Linked DNA regions of Schizosaccharomyces pombe. The main gene of each other region encodes a partner of the protein of the gene in region 3 in a complex. Each region holds a gene or a part of one and is shown on either strand. Other genes may lie near its edges.

What was found.
Region 1: pmc3 (region 3) and rox3 share a complex: the UniProt entries of both Schizosaccharomyces pombe proteins name them as parts of the mediator complex.
Region 2: pmc3 (region 3) and med14 share a complex: the UniProt entries of both Schizosaccharomyces pombe proteins name them as parts of the mediator complex.
Region 4: pmc3 (region 3) and med20 share a complex: the UniProt entries of both Schizosaccharomyces pombe proteins name them as parts of the mediator complex.

Annotation. Positions count from the first base shown.
Region 1 is NC_003421.2:1,733,695-1,737,215, forward strand, and holds rox3 (mediator complex subunit Med19), read right to left. Parts: upstream 1,619-3,521; 5' UTR 1,490-1,618; coding exon 1,073-1,489; 3' UTR 566-1,072; downstream 1-565. Other genes in the region: CIA machinery monothiol glutaredoxin Grx3, read right to left, coding at 1,733-2,233; dao1 (D-amino acid oxidase), read right to left, coding at 2,912-3,521. UniProt on the Schizosaccharomyces pombe protein: Component of the Mediator complex, a coactivator involved in the regulated transcription of nearly all RNA polymerase II-dependent genes.
Region 2 is NC_003423.3:1,995,502-2,001,154, reverse strand, and holds med14 (mediator complex subunit Med14), read left to right. Parts: upstream 1-2,061; 5' UTR 2,062-2,226; coding exon 2,227-4,866; 3' UTR 4,867-5,149; downstream 5,150-5,653. Other genes in the region: anaphase-promoting complex cullin family subunit Apc2, read right to left, coding at 1-20; sdh7 (ACN9 family protein), read left to right, coding at 381-680, 796-843; V-ATPase assembly factor Pkr1, read right to left, coding at 779-989, 1,070-1,257; pus7 (pseudouridine synthase), read right to left, coding at 5,186-5,653. UniProt on the Schizosaccharomyces pombe protein: Component of the Mediator complex, a coactivator involved in the regulated transcription of nearly all RNA polymerase II-dependent genes.
Region 3 is NC_003424.3:4,488,591-4,492,442, reverse strand, and holds pmc3 (mediator complex subunit Med27), read right to left. Parts: upstream 2,038-3,852; 5' UTR 1,908-2,037; coding exon 1,833-1,907; intron 1,796-1,832; coding exon 1,732-1,795; intron 1,607-1,731; coding exon 1,529-1,606; intron 1,483-1,528; coding exon 1,061-1,482; intron 1,012-1,060; coding exon 829-1,011; 3' UTR 501-828; downstream 1-500. Other genes in the region: tif471 (translation initiation factor eIF4G), read left to right, coding at 1-350; sorting and assembly machinery complex subunit Sam50, read left to right, coding at 2,151-2,255, 2,337-3,659. UniProt on the Schizosaccharomyces pombe protein: Component of the Mediator complex, a coactivator involved in the regulated transcription of nearly all RNA polymerase II-dependent genes.
Region 4 is NC_003424.3:2,348,439-2,351,755, forward strand, and holds med20 (mediator complex subunit Med20), read left to right. Parts: upstream 1-1,754; 5' UTR 1,755-1,888; coding exon 1,889-1,902; intron 1,903-1,944; coding exon 1,945-2,033; intron 2,034-2,102; coding exon 2,103-2,581; 3' UTR 2,582-2,806; downstream 2,807-3,317. Other genes in the region: CENP-W family protein Wip1, read left to right, coding at 1-13; ARP2/3 actin-organizing complex subunit Arc5, read right to left, coding at 114-176, 267-443, 570-642, 687-832; ilv3 (dihydroxy-acid dehydratase), read right to left, coding at 2,933-3,317. UniProt on the Schizosaccharomyces pombe protein: Component of the Mediator complex, a coactivator involved in the regulated transcription of nearly all RNA polymerase II-dependent genes.

The DNA.
Region 1 (3,521 bases), on a different chromosome or scaffold from region 3:
TTATCAGGGAGGTCCTTAGGAATTACAAAAGGATCTTCTCCTCTATATTCTAATGTTAGAGGGGAATGTGTGGATATGGGAAAGCAAATAATTAAATTTGTTTTTGGTTTATATCTATCGATTGTTTCATAAAGTACGATTTTTTTACCTCAATCGTGTTGTAAGCGTGTAAATCTGTATAATTAAGAAATATGGGGTTCGAACGGTGTATTTTATGCAATTCAAGCAATGGTAATTGACATAGAAATGTATGACAAGTTATTTTTTTTGCATCAATCATGAATACTGAAATTACGTCTCTAAAGCCCAGTCGGGTATTTACGATTGATGACTGTAATGTATGGGCAGTAAGTGAAACAATCTGTTTAATTTGGATGATCCAATACCATTTTTTTATGCTGCGGTTCTTTGCAACAGTCCTGCGTAGATCAACTCATATTTTTACTATTTCGACAATTGTTTTACACTTCTCAAAATTGGGTATTATTTAGAAAATACTCTTTACGATGAAATGTATATGAAGAAAAATAACTTTGAAAATGTATTACTAAAATGAATAAAACAACTAGCAACATATAGAACATAAGTTAATATGATTCAGTTAACAACGTTAAGAATACATTAAACAGTAGATGAGAAAAAGAATTTAAGTAATTTGTCTCTTGAGAATCTAGTAGAATCACCGAGATTAAACTATTGAAGTTAAAAGCGACTTCTTAGGAATAAACCTGAGAAAACAAAGATGAATTTTAAAAACGAAACAACGCCATGTAATAAATAAGTTTTCTAGACCGCAAATTAAAGAGTAATTAAATCATTTGGTATTGTTTCCATGCTTTGAAACGATGAAAAATCTCTGAAAACAGCAGATAACTGAACCCGCAGAAAGAGCTTCAAATATTTATCGCTCTTCTGAGTACAATCATTGAGTAATGGAAAGCAGAATCGACAAGTTTCAGTAAAAGCAACAAGTTTAGTAAAATTCGGCAAGAGCATTAAGGATTTGACCTGCAGTTTTAAAGCAAACTTTCACAGCTTTCTAGGATTTGATGAGCAATTGATGGCTCATCAATTACTTCTTTCTACGACTTGGACTACGAGGTTGAGAGGAATCACGACTAACATTGCCCATTACAACGTCGTCTTCAAGGCCAAACACTTTAGGATTAAAACCTGGAATAATGCCTGGCTCTACAGAGAACACATGATGTAAAAATTCAATGTCAATAGGAACTTCTTCTCGAATAGGGTTTGTAAGCCATTGTTTTATAGTATTATCACGAAGAATTTCATTATAACCTGGCAAGTCTTGGATGTAAGCCTTGTACGAACGACGCATCTTTCTCTTGTTACCAAATTCATCGACACGTCCAACCTTTTTAGCAAGTTCCGTAAGACCATAAAGCTCTATTAAATTCTGATGGGCAGAAGGCCTCGTCGGTTGGTAGTCTACACTACCTACATAGTGGTATTCAGGAGCTTGCGCCATGCAAATAAATTGACCAATGTAACAATAAGAATATATTATTGCATTCAAATTTTTTAAATATATATGCAATGAATGCTTTACTCTCTAAGTTGCTTAGCTGGATAGTTTGGAGTAGTGGTTGGTGGTTTAAAGAAGCTATAGCATACTTGGCTAGTATAATTATTGAGTTACTTCCAAGGGTAATCGATTTAACATAAATTGTAATTAATAAATTGCATCAAAACATATATTGAAAAATTAAAATTAGTCGGTAGGTAAAATTAAAACTTTATTATGTGTCCATTCATCCAAAGTAGACTGAAGTTTTTCTTCTTGGTACAGAGCACGGACCGAATCAGATCCACCGATGCTATGACCACCAACGAAGATGTTGGGCATTGTAGATATATCGCTAATGGAAGAAAGCCAGTCTCTTAACTCTTGAGTATGCTCGTAGTCGGTGACTTCTACAACCACTGCTGGAGGATCCAATCTAAGGGTTTCTGTTAGAAGTTTTTTAGCTGCAGCACTATAAGGACATCCAGGACGACTAAAAATGATAACAGGGTTTTCAAGAAATACTTCAAAATCTGTTGAATCCTTAGCAGGTAATTTAGGAGCAGATGGCACTGAGACATCTGAAAGACCTAAAGGTCCTGCCTTTGCATTTTTCTCAGGTTCATTCAGTGGACTGAATATGAAGATATGAATAAGCAATAACGATATTATAAGAGATGTAATAAGAAAAATCTTTCTATTAGCCATAATGGGATGTAAGCTTTCCTTTCTCTTGGTAATTTGTATGAGCTGACGAAAAGCAGCTGATTAATCAAATTATTGTGATTAAAGCAAAATAAAATAATATAAAATGAATAAACTATTACAATTAAATTCCCTCACAGTTGGTTTAGATAGTTACCCAAAACCTGTGGTATGCAAACGGTAGGCTGGTCGCGGATAGGTGAATTTAGGATATTGCGATTGAGGATTGAAAAACTTCTTTAAAGGCCCAAAAATTACTAATTAAGCTACAAAGATGCCACCGTTAATATGAATCAAGCTCAGTCTATTTTAATGCTTCTACAACAAGGGCACGGAAGGAAAGGAACCTTACTTGCTCGCATTAAGGATGCCAAGCACTTTAGTCTTTCAGATTATTCTCAAAAGATGTAAATTTTTTTAAATAATCGTCAAAAAACGTAAAGGTAATGTACAACATTCTAATGCTATTTCATCCTCATGATTTAGCAACTCTCAAAAGCTAATGAACTACTTGTACACGTGTATCGTAGAATTGAAATGCGTTTTAACAAATCCGTTAAGTCTATAAAACATGGTTCGAAATTTGGTATAAAAACTACCTCAAATGAAGCGACCAATTATCCTAATAAAAAGAGGGGAGATAATGCTCTAAAAAATATGAAACGTGATAAAAAAATAAACCTAAGCCAATTTGATTTTAGGAAGAGCCAACATGACAGAGTCAAGAGCCATACCATAACCAGCTTGGTATCCTGTGCCAGAAGCACCGTAATCATGAACAAGGGGGACTGAGGTGCCGGGAACAACATCAAGCTCTACGCGGGCACCACCCTTTCGAGAAGGACGGAATCCGACACATTCTTGAATAATTTCAGCACCCTCCGGACCCTTGCCGTGGAACAATTCTGGCATCAAAGCCGATGTTCTCTTAAGGATATCCAAAGTGTCTTCAGGGTGAATTTCACGATCCCAGTTTCCTGGTTGCATGAAACCGCCGCAAATGACTCCACCATTTAAGGGACGAGGAATAATATAGGTATCAGAGTTCTTGCCATTCAAAATGCGAGTTTCTGTTACATGAGGAGCCTTAACCAAAACAACATGTCCACGAGTCGGATAAACGTCCGGGTCTTCAACGCCACCCAATTTGGAAGCCCAGAGACCAGTGCAATTAAATACTACTGAAGCTTCTGGAGTTTCTTCGACAGTCTCTTTGATGTGACTCAATTCTTTCTTTTCAAATTCGACGCCAGCTTCAATGAGCAGCTTGTACATATAATTCAAGTAATGA
Region 2 (5,653 bases), on a different chromosome or scaffold from region 3:
GACAGATCAGTATCATTCATTATGCTTTTAATTTTTTCTGATAAATACTTTAATCTTAAAATAAATGAATTCAAGCAACTACAAATAATCGATACCAAATCGACAAGTCCTTTCTACGTAGTCCGATAACACAAAGTAATGTTTTCAAAAGAAAAAGGAATTAAAAATTGAAGATTTCAAGACAAATGATTGAAGGAACACTCACTTTTCCTACTAGTATATCTTCTGGTGGTATTGTTTACATTTGGTAGAAGAAGACCTTGCAATTGTTAGTGTGAATGCGATGAATAGCAAACTGCCTTCCACATCACAACCACAACAAGAAACTTAAAAGGAATTCAATTTTTGAAAAGACGGTATCTAAAGAAAATCATATACCAATGAATAACATAACGAAATTAATGAAACAAAAGAATATTTTGACACCTCCTTTGCCTCTGTACCGAAGGGTGTTGAGAGCGCATCGCTATCACCTAGGAGCAGAAGAACGAGCTTTAGGAGATGAATATGTAAAGGCGGAATTTCGAAGACATCGGAACGTAACAAATCCTTTGCATTTAGTAGGATTTTTAAGCTCGTGGGAGAGGTATGCGGATGCACTAGAAAACGAGAGCTGGAAACAGGAAAAATACAGTAATACGGATCTACTAGAATCTTTAAATGACCAGCAAATCGGACAGGTAAGAAAACTTATATTAGATTGAGGTTTATTATTAAAAGAAGAGAACTTTTACCAGTGCTCTTGAACTTATTGCTTCTTTTTTTGGACCTATAGTTTCTAACTATTATTGGCAGTTGTACGAGCTCTCAAAAGCTCTTCAGGAACAGAAAAAGTCTGAGTAGTGGTCGCGGAATCTGATTCTTTATCAGACATCTCTTTGTTATTAGAAGGATTTTGATTGTTTGAGTTGTCGTCATTTTTATTGGCACTTTGAGACGACATCTGCAAATCGTTATTAACTCGAGCATGTGCAAGCTCAACCAAAAACCTATAAAGTTGTTAATGAATGATCTGGACTACTCGTAAAAAAGTGAACGAGATGTTCAACTTCCTCATGGATAAACGTACCATGTTAGCGACAGCCACAAACAGATTGCCAGGAAAAATAAGATGAGACAATGAATACTTTTTGTACCTATATAAAGTCCAAGAAAAACAGCGACAAGTGCACCACAGGCTACGTGTGCTGACTTAGCCAATACAGGTGTGACACCTGGTGTGAAAATTGATTCCCATAGTTCCACCCAATACGACATGATCTTTTTCTTATTGGAATACTACTTGGAAATGTAGTAGCTATGAATTGACGTTGTTAAACCACCGTTTGTGTTCTAGCGATAAAATCTGGCCTTTATAGTGTGCGTGTGCTATTGAATTAATTTAGCAACGAGACCGATGTTGGAGTTCATTAAAAGTTAAAATGGATTTCAAGAAATCCATATCTTATACTACTATTAAAACCGAAGGTTATGCTTCCATTTGTCCAAATTTATTGTTAATAGAGCTTTGAATCATTCAAATGGAATAGTGCTCTACTTTTGTTTTGCTATATTAAAAATTTTTTGTCAGCTTCTTGTGGTCGTGGAGAAAATAATTAAATGATCAAAACAAATGTTATTTTTCGGCTTAGCTCTTCTAAATTACTGTTTTATTATCATTTTAATGAGACACGCTGAAGCTCTGATTAAAATTGATAGCAAAGTTTGAACAGCTTTAATGATGATTTTCGTTCAGTTTAAAGAAGGGGCTTTTTAACTACTATAGAATTACGAGAATCTTTTTGAACGGTTCCATCTCATTTGTTATTCTTCATTATCCATAGTTTCAAACTATGTTTTATGCGATTATCGCATAACAGGGCATGTTTATACTAGCTCAAATTTATTCAAAATCTCCCATTTTAGTAATATCATTGATCAATTATTATTTAATTCCATTTAAAATTGCTTATTTATTGATTATTCCAATTTTTTGAATGAATAAACCTAAGGCGTTTTAACAATCTCAGTGAATGGCGTAACGAAGGTTATCGAAGAGTTTCACGGGAGCTGTGTGAAGTTGCTTTTGGCACGCTACTCGAAGATTTCTGTAAAAGAGATATAAAGAATCCTTTTTAAGGGTTTTTAAAAGAACAAAACTTATGTTTATTACGAAATTTAGTTTTGGTAAAGGATCGGCTAATTAAAGGCGCTATTACACGAAATTCCTAACTCCTCCAATTGAGGATGGAACCGCCTGCGATTCCACACATTACAGAAGGATTTTATCCTCTTCCTGAGATAGTAGAAACTTTTAGTCATCATGTGTTACAAGAATTGGTGTCTTTAGCCGAAGTTCTACCCTCTATGTCAAATGTCGAGAAAAAGAAAAAGATCTTAGATTGGTTATTACGTTCGCGCGCTTTCACTATGCGTTTGCTAGTTTTAGCGCGTTGGGTACATCTATCTCCTTCAGTTCATCGATGCATAGATGTTGTAGCCTTTCTTCAAGGTCAAAAATTTTGCTTCCAGAATTTAGTTCATGTGTTACAAGATATTCGTTACCAGTTGTCATTTGCACGTCTACGCAACTCAGATTTAGTTACTGCATTAGATATTTTGTCAACTGGCACGAGTCTTCGTCTAGCAAATGCTCCCACTTCAAAATTATACATGCTATCTGAATCACCGCTAAGTACCAAACAAATACTTCAAACCCTTCATGCTCTTAACATGCTTATTAGAATTCGTCTTAGTCTTTATGAAATTATTCCGACACCATTTCAACATTTCACAATTGCTAATGGTCGTTGCACATTTACTGTTCCCAATGAGTTTTCAGTGTCTTTGACAACCAATTCCCAAGATCCTAAATCTACCGGTATTTCATTCCAGTGGATTGTTGTTGACTTTCAATTTCATCTTCCTGATTTTTCTTCTACTCCCGCAAAATATCGGGTTTTTATAGAATTGCATCTCAATGAAGAAATCGCTGCTGCATTCGTTCTACAAAAGCCCATCCTACCTTTAATATATAATATCCTTCATAAATTTTGTTTATATCAGCGCCTTAATTTATTGTCACAACAAACTTTTCAACTATCCAGAGAAAGTTGGTTAGGGCATTTGCGCGGTGTCTATGATGAAAAGCCCCCACGGCTACGTCTATACTATTGGCCCCAATTAAATGTGAAAAAAGAAGGAAAACCCGGAAAAATTGGTCATTATATTCATATATTTGTAAATACTCAACCCATATCCGCCTTTGAGCGTACCCTTAGCTCTAAGAGATCCAGTTGTGAATATGATCATTTTTTATTACTCGTTGAATGGCACCATGATGGCATTGTTGAACATGTACCATTAGATGATCATATGGATGCTCAGCATCTACTATTATTAATTACCCAAAAACACGCTCAACTTATTCTGGAACAAATCCGTAAGGAGCTTCACCCAAATATATTTAGTGAACATGTTGGTGGTGGTCTAAAAATTCATGTCTTTGATAATGAAATAATTGTCAAGGTGAACAGCGTTACCGGCAGGCTCGTGCTGTCGAGTTCGGCTTCACCTTTATCACCTCCCAGGCATCTTCGTGCTGCTGAAAAAAATATTGCTTTGAATACGCAACCTCCCGCCCAAATCTTGAATCGGTTGTATTTCTTTTGTATACAAACGCAGCTATTAGAAGTTGCCCAGTGTGCTGAGTTGCATGCAGTTCAAGGTTACTATTCTTTCCCTTATCTTACATTCTCCAAAGGTAAATGGAGAAAAGATGGCGATTCCCTATGGGTACTCGCGTACAACGTTGAATCCAACTCTTGGTCTGTTAGATTGTTGAACGCTGCGGGTCAAACTCTCTACACCCAAGATGTTCATACTACAAAAGGTACTTTAAGTATTGAAAGTTTTAGCCGTCTTTCGTACCTATTGGAAGTCCAAATACTTTTATTCAATGTTCAAACTGCTTGCCAAGCTCGTGGTATGCCTTTTGAATATTTGCCTATTCCACCAAAAGCCCTAATTGAAGATGACTTTACTACATACGTCCAAACAGGATGCTTATGTATTATGATGCCATCGTCTAATGAAGATATGCTTCCTGTGGTTTTCGTTCGCGCGCATGACGGGCAGTTAATTTTTGACTCCCGAATAAAAGGAAAATTGCCGTATCAGTCTGAGACTGAAACTGAAAAGAACTGCTACATAGATTGGAGAACCGGTCGTATTACCATTCGTGTGCAAAATTTTTCATCTTTCGAAAAAACATGGATTGGATTACTTAAACTTGTTGCTTTGTCTAAAACATCTGCATTCAATGTAGATTGTATCACGTTAAAGCATGTGGACTTTACATATCTCGATGATGAGAAATTTAGGGCTACAATTCATGACGACAACACTTTTACCCTTCATTTTTTTAATCGACATAGTCCGTTTCATCTAATTTCTCAGTTTTTGCAGGATACATTTTCTGATGGGCCCTCAGCTATTCAACCATTACGCGTAATTATGGATAGAACGAGAGGTGTTTTAGTAGCTCAAGAATTGGGCTACGTTGTTTTGGCTCGATCTCTGCGTCAGTACAGAATTATCCTATCCAAAAATCATGGCATTCAAGTTCTTTTAAATCGCCATGGATGTATACTCCAAGATTTATCCTACTTATCTGCCGATTCCCGATACTTGGAAGGAACTCAGACTTTGACGTCTCAATGGGAACCTTGTTCATGGCTTAATACTGTTTGGGAAGGTGACTTGGGTGATGATGAGCTTAATGGTCAGATTGAGGCCGCTCCCGAGATGCACTTAATAAAGATGAACAAAACGGCTGATTTAACAGCCATTCTAAAAAGAATTTTAGCGATCTCTCGAAAAAAATGAACTCATATTAAGCTTTTAATCCTCACCCCCTCCACCGTCCATTCCTTTCGGTGGCAGTGATTAGTGATTGTATATATAAATACGGCAAAAAATGTCTGGTTAATGAGGTAAATGAAAATCGTTTTCTAAAGTATACAAGTGAATGTTACATTGATGATACATGTGATTTATATAATCCAACGTGTAAATTAGAGATCGTCGAATTAACGCTTAATCATTTATGAATAAGCAAAAAACTTCCGTAGGTAAAATGAATTTCTATTATAATCGCCATAATCCCAAGTTTATTCAAAGCTGTGTTCTTTTAAGCTAATAAATTTTATATTGAATCTTTAAGTACCGCTGGCATCAACATACGTTGATCACCACTAGCAGTTGCAGTTCTTAAAGCTTCTCGTAAAGCCATAGTAGCGTAAGCAGAAGATGGAAGTACAAATTTTAACGTAACAGCGGTGTGCTTACCAACCTCAGAACTCACTGAAATAGAACGGTTCTCCAATCTATCCTTATCCGTCAAAATCAGTTGTTGTTCCATATTGTCATACTTTATGAAATTAAACTCCATATTTTCAGGACGCACCAAAAGTTTTCGATAATCACCAGGTAATGAAAGTTCTCTGTCTTTGCGAGACATATTTAATGGATCAAGTGATGCCTCATTCATGACAGACTTGTATATATCGAAAGTTTCATTTTTTGGGTATATTACATTACGACCAGGTAAAGGAAGTACTATGTCGTAAATACTAAAGTTATTGACTTCGTCCTCTTCAATCGGACGAGCTGA
Region 3 (3,852 bases):
TGAATCGTGGTGATTCTCGGATGGGCGGTCGAGGAAGCAATCCACCATTTAGCTCTAGTGATTGGTCTAATAACAAAGATGGTTATGCTAGACTTGGACAAGGTATAAGAGGTCTCAAATCTGGTACTCAGGGTTCTCACGGTCCCACAAGTTTGAGTTCAATGCTTAAAGGTGGAAGCGTTAGTAGAACGCCTTCTCGTCAAAACAGTGCCTTAAGAAGGGAACAGTCTGTTCGTGCACCACCATCTAACGTCGCGGTTACTTCTGCTAATTCTTTCGAATTACTTGAAGAGCATGACCATGATAATGATGGGGGTCAAAAAGATTCTAACTCAAAAACTAGTTCGTAAAGTAATCGGATTTGAATCTGTAATTTAAGTCTTTCATCTTTTGGTTTGTTTTGATTGTTTTGCTATGGATGAATCCATCATTTATCAGGGTTAACGGGAAATGGACTTTATAGTATAAGGTAATACATTCTCTACATTGTAATTGAGAAATGCTTTGGAAAATTTTAATTTCATTCATTGAGTTACGCATAGCCCAATTTACAGTATCTATATCACTAAAAGAGTAGTACTTTTGAATTTTTAGTATACAAAACCATGATATATTAAGGTATTTGAAGTTTGTAGAACAGGCTTGAGTAGTCCAACAAGATTTGGAAATTATAAATATCAAGGAGTCAGAAGACATTGAGTTTATTCCAACATCTGCATGTGATTGAAATGCACTTCTTTGAAAGTGATAATTGTAACTCAAGCTCAAAACGAAGCAAAAATGGCAATTATGAACGTCTTATTTCATTTGAATATCAAAATTAGTGTTTCACAAATCTGACTGAGCCGGCACGCATTCTGCATGTAACGCTAATATATCTTTAGAAGTAGGCTTCACTGTTGAGTTTGCGTTTCTTCGAACAGAAGGAAGCTCCAGGTACACAGGAGAAATGAGACTTTTACAAAAGTCACACGGCTTAGAATAAAGATGCTGATAATCAAGTATTTTAGGCTACACACGGTTAGCAGAGGTTTTGTCTAACAACCTCAAAAACACATACCATAAGAGACCATAAATTTCCAAGGAAGTTGTTGTTACGGTTAATTGAAAAAGTAATAGCATCGTCTTTGCTAGATGAACAATAAACACTAAATTTCCCCCTAGTATCATGAAAGAAAATAAACTCTAGCTCGTTTGCTAGTTTCAAAGTGAAAGACTTGTTTTCATGCGTTGTAAGAATAGACCCTGAAGCCTCAATATCACCTTTAAAAGACTCTATGTTTATATCCGAATTTTGGAAATTGTCATTATCATGCAATTCACTGTGATGCGGCTCCTTTAAGTCTAATGCAGACTTCCCATTAATGGATTTTGTTTCATTATTTTCGGTATCATTAGACAAATCTTCTGAATTGTATAAATAAGTAGGGAGCAAATTAGAGGAATCGGCTTGTAAAGACTTTTCAGCATAATCAAAAACGTCTGTTAATTAGCAAAAATTTAAGCTAAAAATAATTTGCATGCATACTTTGACTGGATTTAAGATGTGTATAAAAGGAATTTACTTTTTCAATCGCTTCTTGAGCACTTTTCTCAAATTTCCGACCTAATTAATTAGTACTCGAGCAAAATTTAAATTTAATATGAAAGATAATCATCATATCATTTTCCCTTAGTGTAAACTTTAACTCGTTTTTCTTAAAGAATTTAGTTATTTAAACAATTACTTACTTGTGCCGGTTTCAGGATGTAATAATTTTAAAAGGGATGGACAAATAGTTCTTAATTCAGCAAGCTAAAATTAATAAAATGTCTTCTGAAATTAGACAAACCTGTTCGTGAAGCTGATTTAAATCCAATAGCTTGTGCTTTAATTCATCTCTTGTACGCTGCTCTTCTAATGACATTTCTGGTAGCCTTAACAAACTTAAAATAATTATGAAAAAAAAATTAACAATGCGTATATTAAATAAATATTGATGGTAAATGGAGAGAATTCAAAAATCGGCACATCCAAATAGTAGATGGTAAGATGTCGGCTGTCATTAACGAACTTACATTCATCTAAAAACCTTTAAAAAATAATTCAACCCCAGTGCTATTGAGAAAGAAGATTGTTATTATATTCAAAATATAGGAAATTTGAAAATATGACCGAACAATTTGAGTCAACTTCTTTTCCATCTGACATTCCCGCCGTGAACGAAGAAAGCAAACTTTCAGCTGAGGAAACATTTAAGAGCCTTTCTGAAATTGTAAGTTAAGTTTTATTATCTAATTTTCGTCTCTATTTTTTTTTTAATTCACCATAATTTATACTAACCATCATCAATCAGTTGGCAGAAAATAGCACTTTGCCAGTGGGTATTTCTTCCATTCGAGTTACTGGTGCACATCATACTAGGCCAAGTTTCATTCGCAAAGTATTGAAAACATGTTTGGATACGTCGAAACCGGCCAAAAGTCGATCTTTGCTTGAAACATTAAATGCTATTCAAGAAACTACTGGGAATTTGATGGCATTCAACGTTTATGAAACTGCCAATATTAAAATAGATCGTGCTAGCTCTTCTGTTTCTGGAGATGATGATCTTGATGTTACCATTCAAGTAAAAGAGAAACCACGTTTATATGTAGAAACCGGCACTGATGTTGGTAACGTTGAAGGCAATGTACATGCTAATGTTCTTGCAAGAAATGTTTTTGGAGGAGCTGAACTTCTTTCTGGTAACGTTTCATATGGAACTCGTAATCGGTCTACCATGTCCGTGAACTTTGAGACCCCAGTAAACGCAGATCCTAAAACCCGTTTACGATTCAATGGCCACAGTAACTTGAGAGACAATAAATCTATTTCGAGCCATGACTTACTTACTAAAGGAATTACGCTTTCATTGCAGCATCAAGATCTGTGGTCTGGCGAGCATTTACTTTCACAAAACTTATTGTGGAGGCAAGTTACTCATCTCACTGAATATGCTTCTCCAAGCGTACGACTTGAGGCCGGTGATTCATTAAAACAATCTCTTTCCTATACGTATACACGCGATACACGCGATCATCTTATGATACCCACGAAGGGAGATTATGTGAGGCAGACTTTAGAGCTCGCTGGGTTCGGATTTCTTCCAGGAGATGCGAGCTTTCTAAAATCAGAATTCTGGGGTCAAAAAGCTGTGGCTTTAAATTCTTCTAGGTCTGTTTCTCTTTCTTTGTCCGCCCGGATTGGAGCATTGCATAGTCTAAATAAGAAGCAAGTCAGTCTGTGTGATCGTTTCATGTTAGGCGGTTCAACTAGCCTTCGTGGTTTTTCAGAAGACCGTATAGGTCCAAAAGATGGCAGGGATTCTTTAGGCGGGACCGCATATATGGCTTTCTCCATGAGCTTGCTATTCCCTTTGCCAAAAGTTGATGCTTCTAAACCATTTCGCTTACAGTTGTTTGCGAATGCTGGAGGGCTATCGAATTTGACTTCTCCAAATCCATGTGGCACATACAAATCAATACTTTCTAAGCCTTGTATCTCTACAGGCTTAGGTTTAGTCTATGCAACTCCCGCTGCGCGTTTCGAGCTGAACTTTACCTTACCAATCGCTACTACCGAAAAGGATATCGGTCGTAAAGGCCTGCAATTCGGCGCGGGTATCGATTTCATGTAATGATTTTCCTTTTTAACTTTTTACTTTAATAAGGTCTCTACTATTCCCATCTCTGACTTGTCTGTCTTTTTCTCTCATTTATGCTAATGATAAGAATGTTACGGTTGACAATTGCTTTTACTGCGTTTGAATTAAATTTTCATGCATATTTATAATTGTCATACAAATATTTTGCTTTTGGTCAAGATTTATG
Region 4 (3,317 bases), 2.1 Mb from region 3:
ATTTAAAGGATAAAAAGAGTCATTATGTGGGAAAGAAGACATAAAACAGAATCATTGATTCAGTTCCATAAGCGACAGAATAGTAGATACCAAAAAGTAAGATAAAGCCATATTTATAGATCGGGTCTACTATTGAGAACACGAACTATACATCCTATACCGGATATTTCCACCACCTACAAAACCGTATTAGTGACCGAATAAAAATGTAAAGCATGAGATAAGCAATGCTAGAGCGTTGGGAAAAGCAATAAACTAAAAGTTACCTTTTCGTGCCAATTAAGTAATACAGACGAGTTGTAGGCTTGAGGATTCGCCAATCCACGATAAATGAAGTTTACAATATTATCAATTTCCTCCGTTGAACATTCTTTTACAAATGCGGGAATGTCAGCAGCTCGTATATTGCTTAATACATCAACAAAAGCATTCAAATATTGAGTCTAAAAAAGTTAAAATTCATTTACACCATAATAAAATGAAATCAAGAAGAATTGTAAATTTAATCAATAAATAAAAACGTAATTGATATAAACCGTCTTTAAGCAGTTTGTACAGTTTGCACATACCCTAACTTCTTGAACATCATTTCCATAAGGAACATATGAGAGTAAGGTTTTCAAACCTTGTAAGGCATTTCCTCTATTTTAATTAATAAAAAAATTGCTTCTTTTAAATAAACATACGTTTGAATGGCAGACCGGGCTTGAGGAATGAGTTGAGAGACGGCTGCTTGGACTTGCTCCGCCGTTTCGTTACGAATTGGAAATATATCTTGCTCTGTTAAAACAGGTTCTGTGATGGAGTCGACATCCAAAGTCCGAAACGTCATTTTATAACTCTATAACTGGTAAGGTAAAGAAAACGATGGAACAGGTTAAGTTTCAGCTGTGTGTAGCTCTAAAGAGGCATCATACAACGGTCGAACGCAAGTCTGTAACTGAAGTTATTATAATTCATAGAGTATATTAATTTAACCAATAAGTTAAGAAAATTCAAAAAAATATATTTATATTTTTTTAATCTTATAACTTTAACTTATAATTTTTGAGCGGAGCTATATAAGTCTGGTAACAGCATTACTAACTTCTTCAGTACTCCATAGACCTCTTTTGTGGATGTTTATTTTTTTTTATTTGTAAATAATCATCTCTACCTTTGGTCTTAGATGTAAAGTTCTGAATAACTTGTAGACAGAAATTGGTTACATATTTTACATTTCTGCCTATGGTGATTCAGAAGAAAATATGTTAGATACAGCCTAGTAATTAGTTGAATAAAGATTAAAAGTAATTTTTTTTTTGCTTCTATCTATTTTCAGTATGTATATTGATGTATGAGTTTATACTTCTATTCGAACAATAACTTTTAAGACTTATTTTGCTGACAGAACTATGTAGTTTCTTGTGTAAAGTTCAAAGTAAAACGAAGAGACACATATGTAACATCCTGGGATTAACAGATTTTTAATTAGTGCTCAAACCAGCCAGTTACATTGTTACGTAGTATTTGACTCTCCAGAAGTTAATTATGAATGTAATTCAGTTAACTTAATTCTCTTCAAGCTTTTAACAATTTGCTCTGGGATTATCATACCCAAAAGCCATATACTTTGCGACTTGGAAAATAATAAAAATGACAAGAGATAAATTAATAAAATTTGAGCTCATATTATGTCTATCTGCTTTTTTTTTTTAATACAGGAACAATGAAAATGAAGGTTTTAAATTAGCCTGTTAGCAATTCTTGCAACCGCCGTACGCATTAAACTCTTCACATCAACATTACAGTAGAAGTAAAAGAACTAATTCGGCCATTTTTCTCAATAATTCGGTATAAACCGATATTCAGATGCATAATTAATTACCATTCATCTTTGTTATAAAATATGCCTGTTCACGGGTAAAAAGCATACCGATTGACTATTTTGCTGATTGATTATAGAGTTATTTATTATTCATCGCCTTCAATGGCGACGTTCCTTTCTCCAGCACAGGATAATCTGGTTAGGACCTACTTTGCACAACATTTAAGTAAGCTGACACTGGTTTGGATTTTATTTCTTATGATTGATGATTTCAAGATCTAACTTTGAATTTCAGAAAAATGGGTAGTTCAGTATAAACTTTACAGAAATGCTGTCACTCCAAAAACTTTAGAATTTTTGAAGCAAAACATTAATCCCAGCATGCTGGCGTGTGTGGATGAAGCGACAATGATTGATGCAGAACCTGAACTTGAGGACATCATTGTGCGAACGAAATTATGGAATTTTCGGCAGTCCTTTACTATTGAAGGTTCAATATATGAAGTAGGGAGCTTTAAAGTGGCTATTGCCAACGTTTTACAAAAGTCCGTTTGGAAGGGTATACTTTTTCATGTAACTTACGATGGTACTGAGTCCGTCGATCTCGCACGCCCTATTATTCAAGAATTCTTTCTTAAATGCTTTTTACAAAATAATAAATCGGTAACCCCTGTCTATGAAAGCTTCTTTAACCAGCCTCGTCATTCTTTGGATTCAAAACTTCTACTACAGTTGTTTAAACAACGCATTGATACCGTTTCACAACGCACATAGAATAAAAAAGTATCAATTTAAATTTTTTCTGTAAATAAATTTCTATCTAACTAACTGTCAAAGTCTTGCTTTATTGTCAGCAGAAAGTTATGGCTCCCTTTCACATTTACAGATACCAATTATGTTTAATAATAAAATAGAAATGCAGGAGTTTGAATAACAACCCATTTTAAACTCGATGCATTTCACTGTACTCCAAAAAGTAATTATTCATTCAAAATTATTCAAATAAACTCTAGATGAGATTATGGAATCAGCATTAAAAGCTTATTAATCAACCTTTACTACCAAAACATTAAACGTCTAAGTTTCCAAAATACTATGCGCGCTTATAAAAGCATTGAATATGCTTTACTCTAAGGAATCTGTAACAGCACCCTTGGAGGCAGTGCTAACGTTGCGAGCATATTTTAAAAGGGTTCCTTGTTGGTACTTCAAAGGAGGTGCCTTCCAAACACTGCGGCGTCTCGCCATCTCCTTCTCATCAACCATCAAATCTAAAGTGTTCTTTACAGCATTGATTTCAATGACATCGCCGTCCTGAACAAGAGCAATAGGGCCTCCAACTTGTGCTTCGGGATCAACGTGTCCAATCAAAAATCCGTGAGAGCCACCACTGAAACGACCGTCAGTCAAAAGTGCAACATCCTTTCCAAGACCAGCTCCCATAATAGCACTTGAAGGCTTTAACATTTCCGGCATACCAGGTCCACCTTTTGGTCCCTCAAAACGAATA